Linked DNA regions of Nothobranchius furzeri. The protein of the gene in region 2 interacts with the protein of the main gene of each other region in a pairwise test. Links are inferred from orthologs where the notes say so. Each region holds a gene or a part of one and is shown on either strand. Other genes may lie near its edges. The genes, in order: arrdc3a and bag3.

What was found.
Region 1: the proteins of bag3 (region 2) and arrdc3a interact in binary tests that used the Homo sapiens proteins (3 or more experiments, as listed by UniProt). The two-hybrid records come from large-scale screens. The link is inferred for Nothobranchius furzeri from reciprocal best matches to the Homo sapiens genes BAG3 and ARRDC3.

What each region holds. Positions count from the first base shown.
Region 1 is NC_091757.1:41,570,956-41,575,312, reverse strand, and holds the start of arrdc3a (arrestin domain-containing protein 3a), read left to right. Parts: upstream 1-1,253; 5' UTR 1,254-1,464; coding exon 1,465-1,744; intron 1,745-3,100; exon of another isoform or gene 3,101-3,128; coding exon of another isoform or gene 3,129-3,171; coding exon 3,172-3,253; intron 3,254-3,355; coding exon 3,356-3,503; intron 3,504-3,595; coding exon 3,596-3,698; intron 3,699-3,866; coding exon 3,867-4,123; intron 4,124-4,357. UniProt on the Homo sapiens protein: Adapter protein that plays a role in regulating cell-surface expression of adrenergic receptors and probably also other G protein-coupled receptors.
Region 2 is NC_091752.1:5,536,342-5,539,860, forward strand, and holds the end of bag3 (BAG family molecular chaperone regulator 3), read right to left. Parts: coding exon 3,354-3,519; intron 1,681-3,353; coding exon 988-1,680; 3' UTR 742-987; downstream 1-741. UniProt on the Homo sapiens protein: Co-chaperone and adapter protein that connects different classes of molecular chaperones including heat shock proteins 70 (HSP70s), e.g. HSPA1A/HSP70 or HSPA8/HSC70, and small heat shock proteins (sHSPs), e.g. HSPB8.

The DNA.
Region 1 (4,357 bases), on a different chromosome or scaffold from region 2:
AAATCCATCGTTCATTAACCAATTCATGCATAAAAGTATAGTACCACGAATTAATAAATTATAAACATTGCTAGAAGAGTGTCCCATCTTTTTAATTCAGCGGCAAAGTGGACACTAGAGGGCAGCATGCAACTAGGCATTAAACGTTTGTTTTTTTATTTATTTTTTTAATATTTTGCTGAGCTGGCACTGCAGTCATCCCACCTGTATCTATTGACATCCTAACGTTTAAGGTGCATGTCAATGTGTCCTTTGTATAGATAAAGTAAACAGCTTTCCAGATGTGTTTTATGTAATATGGGAAAAAAACATTAATGAATGCACTAAATGGCATTACATATGGTGTGTCAGGGAATCTATGAAGTTTATTGGATTTAATTGGAGGTAAATGGCATTTGTTAATACTAAATTATAAAATAAAAAATCCCCGTCAGGACAATAATGCCTGATTACCTTTCGGGCAGCATCCCCATACTGGCTGATTAAAAGTAAAGAACATTGGTATTGTTGCAGATCAACAGGTGATTCTGCTGCAGCCCATAGTGGGAACATTGGTTGCCACTAGGTGGCGTTTTGAGTCACGAGTTGTTTTTCTGAAAACTGGGAGCTCAACACAATGAGAAAGAGTCTTCTCAACATACACGGATCAGAATCAGTTAAATAACAATCAAAATGGGTCAGGTATATGAGTTACAACCACAGATGATCTGTTTTTAGTTTTATAATTAATATGCATGTTCTATACATCTACTCTGAACAGCCCTATGCCGTGTGCATCATGCAAAATGCAGCTCTTTGGATTTTACAATGACATTGCTCTGATTATGTAAAAGCGTTGTGTAAAGTGTTCACAATAAGCCTGCAGGCTGTGGCTCCAAAATAAAAACAAAATTCACACGTTTTGTGTGATTTTAAAAAATACTTACTCAAATATTGAGGTGGACTATGTACAGACTGGACTAAATCTTATTATTATATTGATAATTGATATTTTTAATGTTACAATTCGCCCCAAAAGCCTCACCCAGGACTATTGCAAATATTTCTTTATGCGGTGTTTCAGGTGCTTTTACCATACTTGCAGGGCGGCTGGATGAATGTGAGCTTTGCCTCACACTGCTCTGCCTGCCTTGTTCCAGAAGGCGAGAAGGTGGGGGCTGTGCAGCCACGCGCAGGCGCAGAAGGTTGTTTTTCACACAGCTTCTGGTTTAAAGTGAGCTGAGCTCCGGGGGTTTCCTTGTCTGTGACTGAGACCATCAAGGAGACAGGCAGATGATAACAGCATCCATTGCTGGTTATCAGCCTTCACAAAGCTCAATGAACTGCTCACAAAGAAGCCACTGATCGTGCCCGCTGCTTCTTGCAGGGCAGAGATACTGATCAGTGTCTCCAACCCCGTTTTTCTTATGAGATTATTTTTTCATTAACTCCTTTTTTTAGAGCTCGAGAAGATCTCTTTCCGCCATGGTGCTAGGAAAGGTAAAGAGCTTCATAGTGAGCTACGACTGTTTTAATGACAGCAACGTCCCCGTCTTCTCCAGCGGGGACTCCGTCTCAGGGAGGGTGATCGTCGAAGTCACCGGAGAAATCCGGGTGAAATCTCTCAAAATCCACGCAAAAGGAATAGCAAAAGTTCGTTGGACTGAGTCAAGAAACGCTGGATCCAACACTGCCTACACCCAGAACTACACAGAAGAAGTGGAATACCTGAACTACAAAGATATTTTAATTGGACATGAAAGAGGTAAGAAGTTTTGTAGAAATTGTGATGCTCCCCTGGTTGGGGATCAGGTTCGCTGAAAGATATAGAGTTGCAGGGCTCAATAACAGGATAATTGGTTCGATTAAAGACTAAATAAAGACCTGTCACTTTATTGCCTTATTTCAGACGAGATGTTCGGTGGGTATTTAGTTGTCTTTTAAAATCTCCATCGTTGCTTGTTTTTGTGGTCAGAATGAATGACAGCTGCTCACGTATCTTGTGTTTTTCATGGCATTTGAGGCGCATAGGGAGGATTTATCTCATTTAAATACATATTGGAATTGAGTTGATTCTGTATTTTATAGCTATGAAGCTTTGTTTAGAAATTTCATCGCTAAACAACGATGAAGTTTCCACCTATTGTTCAAAGCGGTTCAATCCTGTTCCGAAAACTGGTTTGCGAGGGGGCGGGGGGAAAGCCAGAGCGCACCCTGGCTCGTGTGTGATTGGTTAAGATGCTAGTGTGTGGCCAATGACATCATTCCCCTGCAGAGTGGCAGAAAAAACTGCAACTTTTTAATCAATGTAAAACACCTGCAGGACACGAAAATTGGTGGTTTTACTGTAAATTTTAAGGAATTGTGAGTTGCAACCAGGATGTGCTGGACATTTGAGATTTCTTTGCTCTTAATTTTTAATTAAAATCAAGAGTTTTTTTTTTCTTATACCAGTGAATGCAGTAAAGCTTTTATTTGCATGTATTCGGTTAGGTCTGTTAGCATGGATTATGTTAAGCTAACATGTCCGAGACGTGGTGATATTGTCGCTGAACGATTTAATATTTATTAGCGTTGGGAACACGTGTTTAAATAAGTGGGTAGCAGCTCCTTTAGTCTTACGGGACCACAGAGCTTGTCAGACGCATTTATGTATGTGGTTGTTGTGACTGCGGCGTCGCGGAGTGAATACGTAATGCCGAGGGAAGCTGCTCACACCGGTTTAGTCCGGTCTTCTCCTGCTGGAGTCTGTCTCTTGACTGACAGCTCCGCACTTGTTTACCACACGGCTTCTGCTAGGGGGAGGGTGTGCTGAGCTGGCAAGGGCTGCGCACACGTCCTTATCCGCCACATATTTACCTTTTCATGTAAAATGAGCAATATTAAATAAAAAATTCATAATTCCCCCCCCAAAATAAGTGAGAAGGCATCGCTTCGCTTTGCCCCATAAAATTACTTGTGCATTAGCATCACTCACGTTCAGTTTCTGATTTCTCCAAATTTTACTCTGCTGTTTTTTAAAATCTCAATACACTTAATTTCTAACAGACAAGATCAATTGTAAAACCCGTTTATTCTCTTTTTGTCTCCCCCACCCTGTGTTCTTTGATATGACTTACAGATGCCTTCGTAGAGCATTTTGTCCAGGTATGGTATACATGTGTTTGGAATATTGTCCTCCTTGTTTTTCAGACGATGACAACTCGGAGGAAGGACTCACTACAATCCATGCAGGAAGGCATGAGTATGCATTCAGCCTCGAGCTTCCACAGACGTAGGTGTCCCAATACGAAACTAGAATCAGAGAAAAAGTTATTTAGATTTGAGAACTTGACCGTTTTTCTCCTTTCTGCCCTTCTTTTACCGTCACCTGCAGACCTCTGGCTACCTCTTTTGAAGGAAAACATGGCAGTGTGCGCTACTGGGTGAAGGCAGAGCTCCACAGGCCATGGCTCCTGCCCATGAAGACTAAGAAGGAATTTACAGTCTTTGAGCACATTGACATCAACACTCCGTTATTGCTGGTAAGAAGTCATAGGAATGATGAAATGCATAGCTTTTATGTTTGTAAACTAAGAAAAAATGTTTATAAGATGTTTTTTCTCTACTTTTTCAGTCGCCTCAGGCCGGCACAGCAGACAAGACGCTTTGCTGTTGGTTCTGCACCTCAGGTCCAATTTCCCTAAGTGCCAAAATTGAAAGGAAGGGATACACCCCAGGTGAGGATAAGTGAATAAACGATAAGGTTGTTACTCATCTGTTTACCAGATGAGCCAATGGGATGATCACATTCTGCAGGATTCTCTACTTGTTACTGATTACTCATAATTAGGGTTCCTATCACTAGAGAAAAATATTAACTTCCATTATGTCTTATATTTGTGTAGGCGAGTCTATCCAGATATTTGCCGAGATCGAGAACTGCTCGTCCCGCGTGGTGGTGCCAAAGGCGGCCATCTACCAGACACAGACCTTCTATGCCAAAGGAAAGGTGAAGGAGGTCAAGCAACTGGTGGCCAACCTGCGGGGGGAGTCCTTGTCCTCTGGCAAAACGGAGACCTGGAATGGCAAAATGCTGAAGATCCCACCTGTGTCCCCCTCAATCCTGGACTGCAGCATCATCAGAGTGGAGTACTCCCTCATGGTGAGTTTGGTCTTTCTCTCACACACTCGATGAACATTTAGGTCAGGTGCCCGTTTTTGTTGTTTGTATTTGTTTTGAGACGACGGGCATACAAGGGTTTCTGCTTTCATCAGAATCAATATTTCCTTGTAAGCCAATATCCCGGTAAAGGTGCCTGGCTGACTCGGCTTGCATAACCAAATCTGGACCTGGGATTGTACCAGGTGTTATGTCCGCATGCTGCTAAGCGCATTA
Region 2 (3,519 bases):
TTAGTGACAAAAAACCCACAACATACACGGTTAGTGTTATCATAACATGGTTCAGAGCTTTAAGATAATCACAAAAGCGGTTTTGTTTTCTAAAAACCTGAAACTGTGGTGTCTGAGCAAGGGCGCGATCGCAGGGGTTTTAAAGCTTTGAGGCCGTTATTGTGGGACTAAAGATTGTGGCTTTGGTAGTTGTACAAGGACATTCTGACAGTCTTAAACAGGACTCCAGCTTAGCAGCAGGTGCCGATTGTCTCGCATCGAGTAGCTGTGCATCTCACCCCGCTTGTCCACACACACATAAATGTACCAAAATACTCAGTGATATAAATAGTGATATCATAATTTGCAAGTAGACTGATTCACATACAAACACTCAAAAACAAAACGTGTCTAAGTGACGTGGTTCAAAACGACGTGCTGCCGATTATCAGCAGGATCTATTTTCTGTTATGGCAAAGTGCAAAAACGGCTGAATCAGCAATGCACCCAAAAGCAGCATCTGGTAAACTAGTTCCACTCTTTAAAAAAGCTTTTCTCTTCATTTTAGACAAAGCGGTTCCAACTCTGAAGAACATCTTCGTCTGTTGACGGGTTTAAAGTCCCACCGCTTCTACTCGTGTACCAAGTGACGTTCTGCTGACTGAAAAAGAAAAGCTCCGAACAACATTTAATCAGACAAAAGACGACCACAAATAAGAGCTCTTAGGAAAATACTTTTGTTTGTCTTCCGTCTGTTTGGTAAAGGCCTCGTTTTTTTTTAAACTTCAGCTCACTTAGTGCTTGTTGTCAACATCTCACTGACGATGATCTTTTTGTGAAGACATTGGCGCAACATAGAAGGCAACAACGATGGCTTGAACAACACGAATCCACTGAGCGATCGGTAATTGTGTGCTGAACTGACACCTTTAATCAATGCATGCAACTTGCTCAGATACACAGCACATGATCCATTTCTCCTGGTACATTAGAAAATCGGTGCAGTCACTAGGATATCTCCTTCGCCGTCTCAACATTCTTATGAGTGATCATGCCGGCCTCTCCTTTCTGAGTCAGGCCGTGTCCCTCCACGTCACTGGCGGGTCCCATGGGCTGCTCCTCCAGTTGCTCCAGTTCTTCCAGTATGTTCTGCACTCGTCGGACTCCATCCCGTCTTGCTTGCCGTACGTCTGCACGGCCCTCGGGGTCAACAGAGTCAAGAGCTAGGAGCTCTTTGGTCAGAAGCTCCTCTAATAACAAATACTTCTTATCGTTCTTCTTTCCGCTAAAACTTTTCACCTCCTGCTCCAGTTTAGCCACCCTTTCAACGATCTGCTGCACCTTAGCCAAGCCTGGGTGGACAGCACACTGGCCGGCATGTTCAGCCTCTGCCTGAACAGGCGGCACCTCTGGGGGTGTGGTCATCCCGTCCTGGGACTCCGGTTTTGGAGGTATTTGAACTGTAATGTCCGCCACGTGATGTTGAGGAAACTCCGGCTTTTGGTGCTTCTGTTGCTGCGACTGTTCTTGCTGTGGAGGCGGAGTCTGAGGCGGTGCCTGCTGGAACGGCTGAGGCTTTTGGATGTCGGCCTTGGTGTGTAGCATTTGAGGAGATGACGTGTTCTCAGGTTTCTGCTGCGTGCTTTGTTGCTCCTGCTCCATTTTCTGCGGCGGGTCTTTTGAGAGCACACGCTGTGGAGCCTTAAAAGCAAAAACAAAACTACGTTTTTGTGATCCATGTGTAACTTATGGGGGATATTAGGGCAACTCGGAAGGAAAAAAAAAGCTTTTGAGAAACAGAAAGAGTTTTACTGCTTTCTAGTTTAGAGATTAAAGGGGTCCTAGAATTCAGAACCGCTGTTTCCTTGTTGTTGAATACAGGCAGCTTGGGGAGTCTGCTTTGCAATGCAAATTAGTAATGTTGTAATGGTCATGGAGTGCGTTTACATGCAGCCAGTAACCCTTTTAAAACCCAAACATTCACAAGTTCCGCAGGTCCATGTAAACACCGCCAGAAACCCGGATATGCTCATAACCGGGTTTTTAAAAACCCGGTTACTACACCTGGGGTAACCCTTTTCTAACCCGAATGTTTGGTCGTGTAAACGCATATCGGGATATCCCCATCAAAGCGTGTGTTCTGCACATGCTCTGTTAGCAAGGAATCTTGGTCTTTTGAGTAGCGAGACGTCTTGTATGCGCCAGAACACCGGAAGTAAACAACAAGTTGGGAGCAACATGGCGAGTCGCGGCACAGCACCACACTTTTGGAGTGACGAGGAAACTAAAGCGCAAACAAGCGCGGTCGCTATCTCTTCCGAACTGGGAAACATGTTGTTGTTTTCACGGATACCGGAACAAGAAGAACCGGAAATGACGCACACTGCGTCTGGACGTAGTCCATACGTCCTGACGCTACCCCAACGTCCGCATTTAAATCGGGTTATGCAAGTTAGAGGTATCTCTTTTTATTTATGCTTGTAAACGGGTTATTCTGATCAACTCAGAAACCCGAATCCCGACCTTAACCCGATCATAACCCGGATATTGGCTGCATGTAAACGTAGTCATGGAGAAACTTGTTTTTCTGAGAAAAGTTGGTTTAACACCTCTTAAATCAGCGTCTCCTAACCCAGTTCCATGTCAGCAGTAAATACATGGTGGTGGTGGTAATGCTAACCGTAGAACAATGCTAGCCTGACCTACTGCTGATTTCCTTATTGGATGAGAGGAAAACAACAATGAAAAATGTCAGAGCAGGCATCTAACACTCCAGGATGTTCTGGGCATATCCAGACTTTGGATGAATGCCCGATAGATCCGTAGCTTGCCTATTGAGTTACCCGGATTATGCAGCGTCATAGAGCCATCAGGCTAAACAGGCCAATCAGCATGCAGCTCATTGAATATTCATCTCCTGGCTGAGTGGGTGGAGCAAACCAATCTTACCATTGTAAGGCTTTATTCTGAAATGTGTCAGTTTATCAGGGCTCCTGTGTCATTTTGAGCCCCAACAAAGTTCCATATGTTATGCAGACACTCAAAGATAGTTCTCGAAGAGTTGTTCTAGAACCTCTCCCTTTAACTTCAAAACGTTGATGAAAAAAACTGTAACTGTAAATATTACTTCCGGAAAAGGTAAAAAATGTTTGCAGTGAAAAAGTCAAAAGAGGAAATAGTGATGGAAAAAGGTCAAATGTTTTCCGAATTCATGTCCTGATCAAAGTAAAAAGTCTAAACTAAACTCAACTGTCGTAAATGCAAAGACTATATAAATAAAGATGAACATTGCCTATGATAATACTTCTGAGTGGCCTCATGTATGTTCTAATTCAGTTAGAGAAACAAGAGGCAAGCGGAAACATTAAACGTACCGGTGGTCTTTCTCCCATCACTTGCGTTTTAATAGGAGAGTGACTTCTGACGTGAGGTGGGAGGTGAACAGAGGCAGAGTCGCGATGGGGGGTGAATATTGTTGGAGAAGCCCTCTCCCTGGGGGGCTGCATAGCAGCAGAGAAGCCGGGCCAGTCTTCTGTCTGG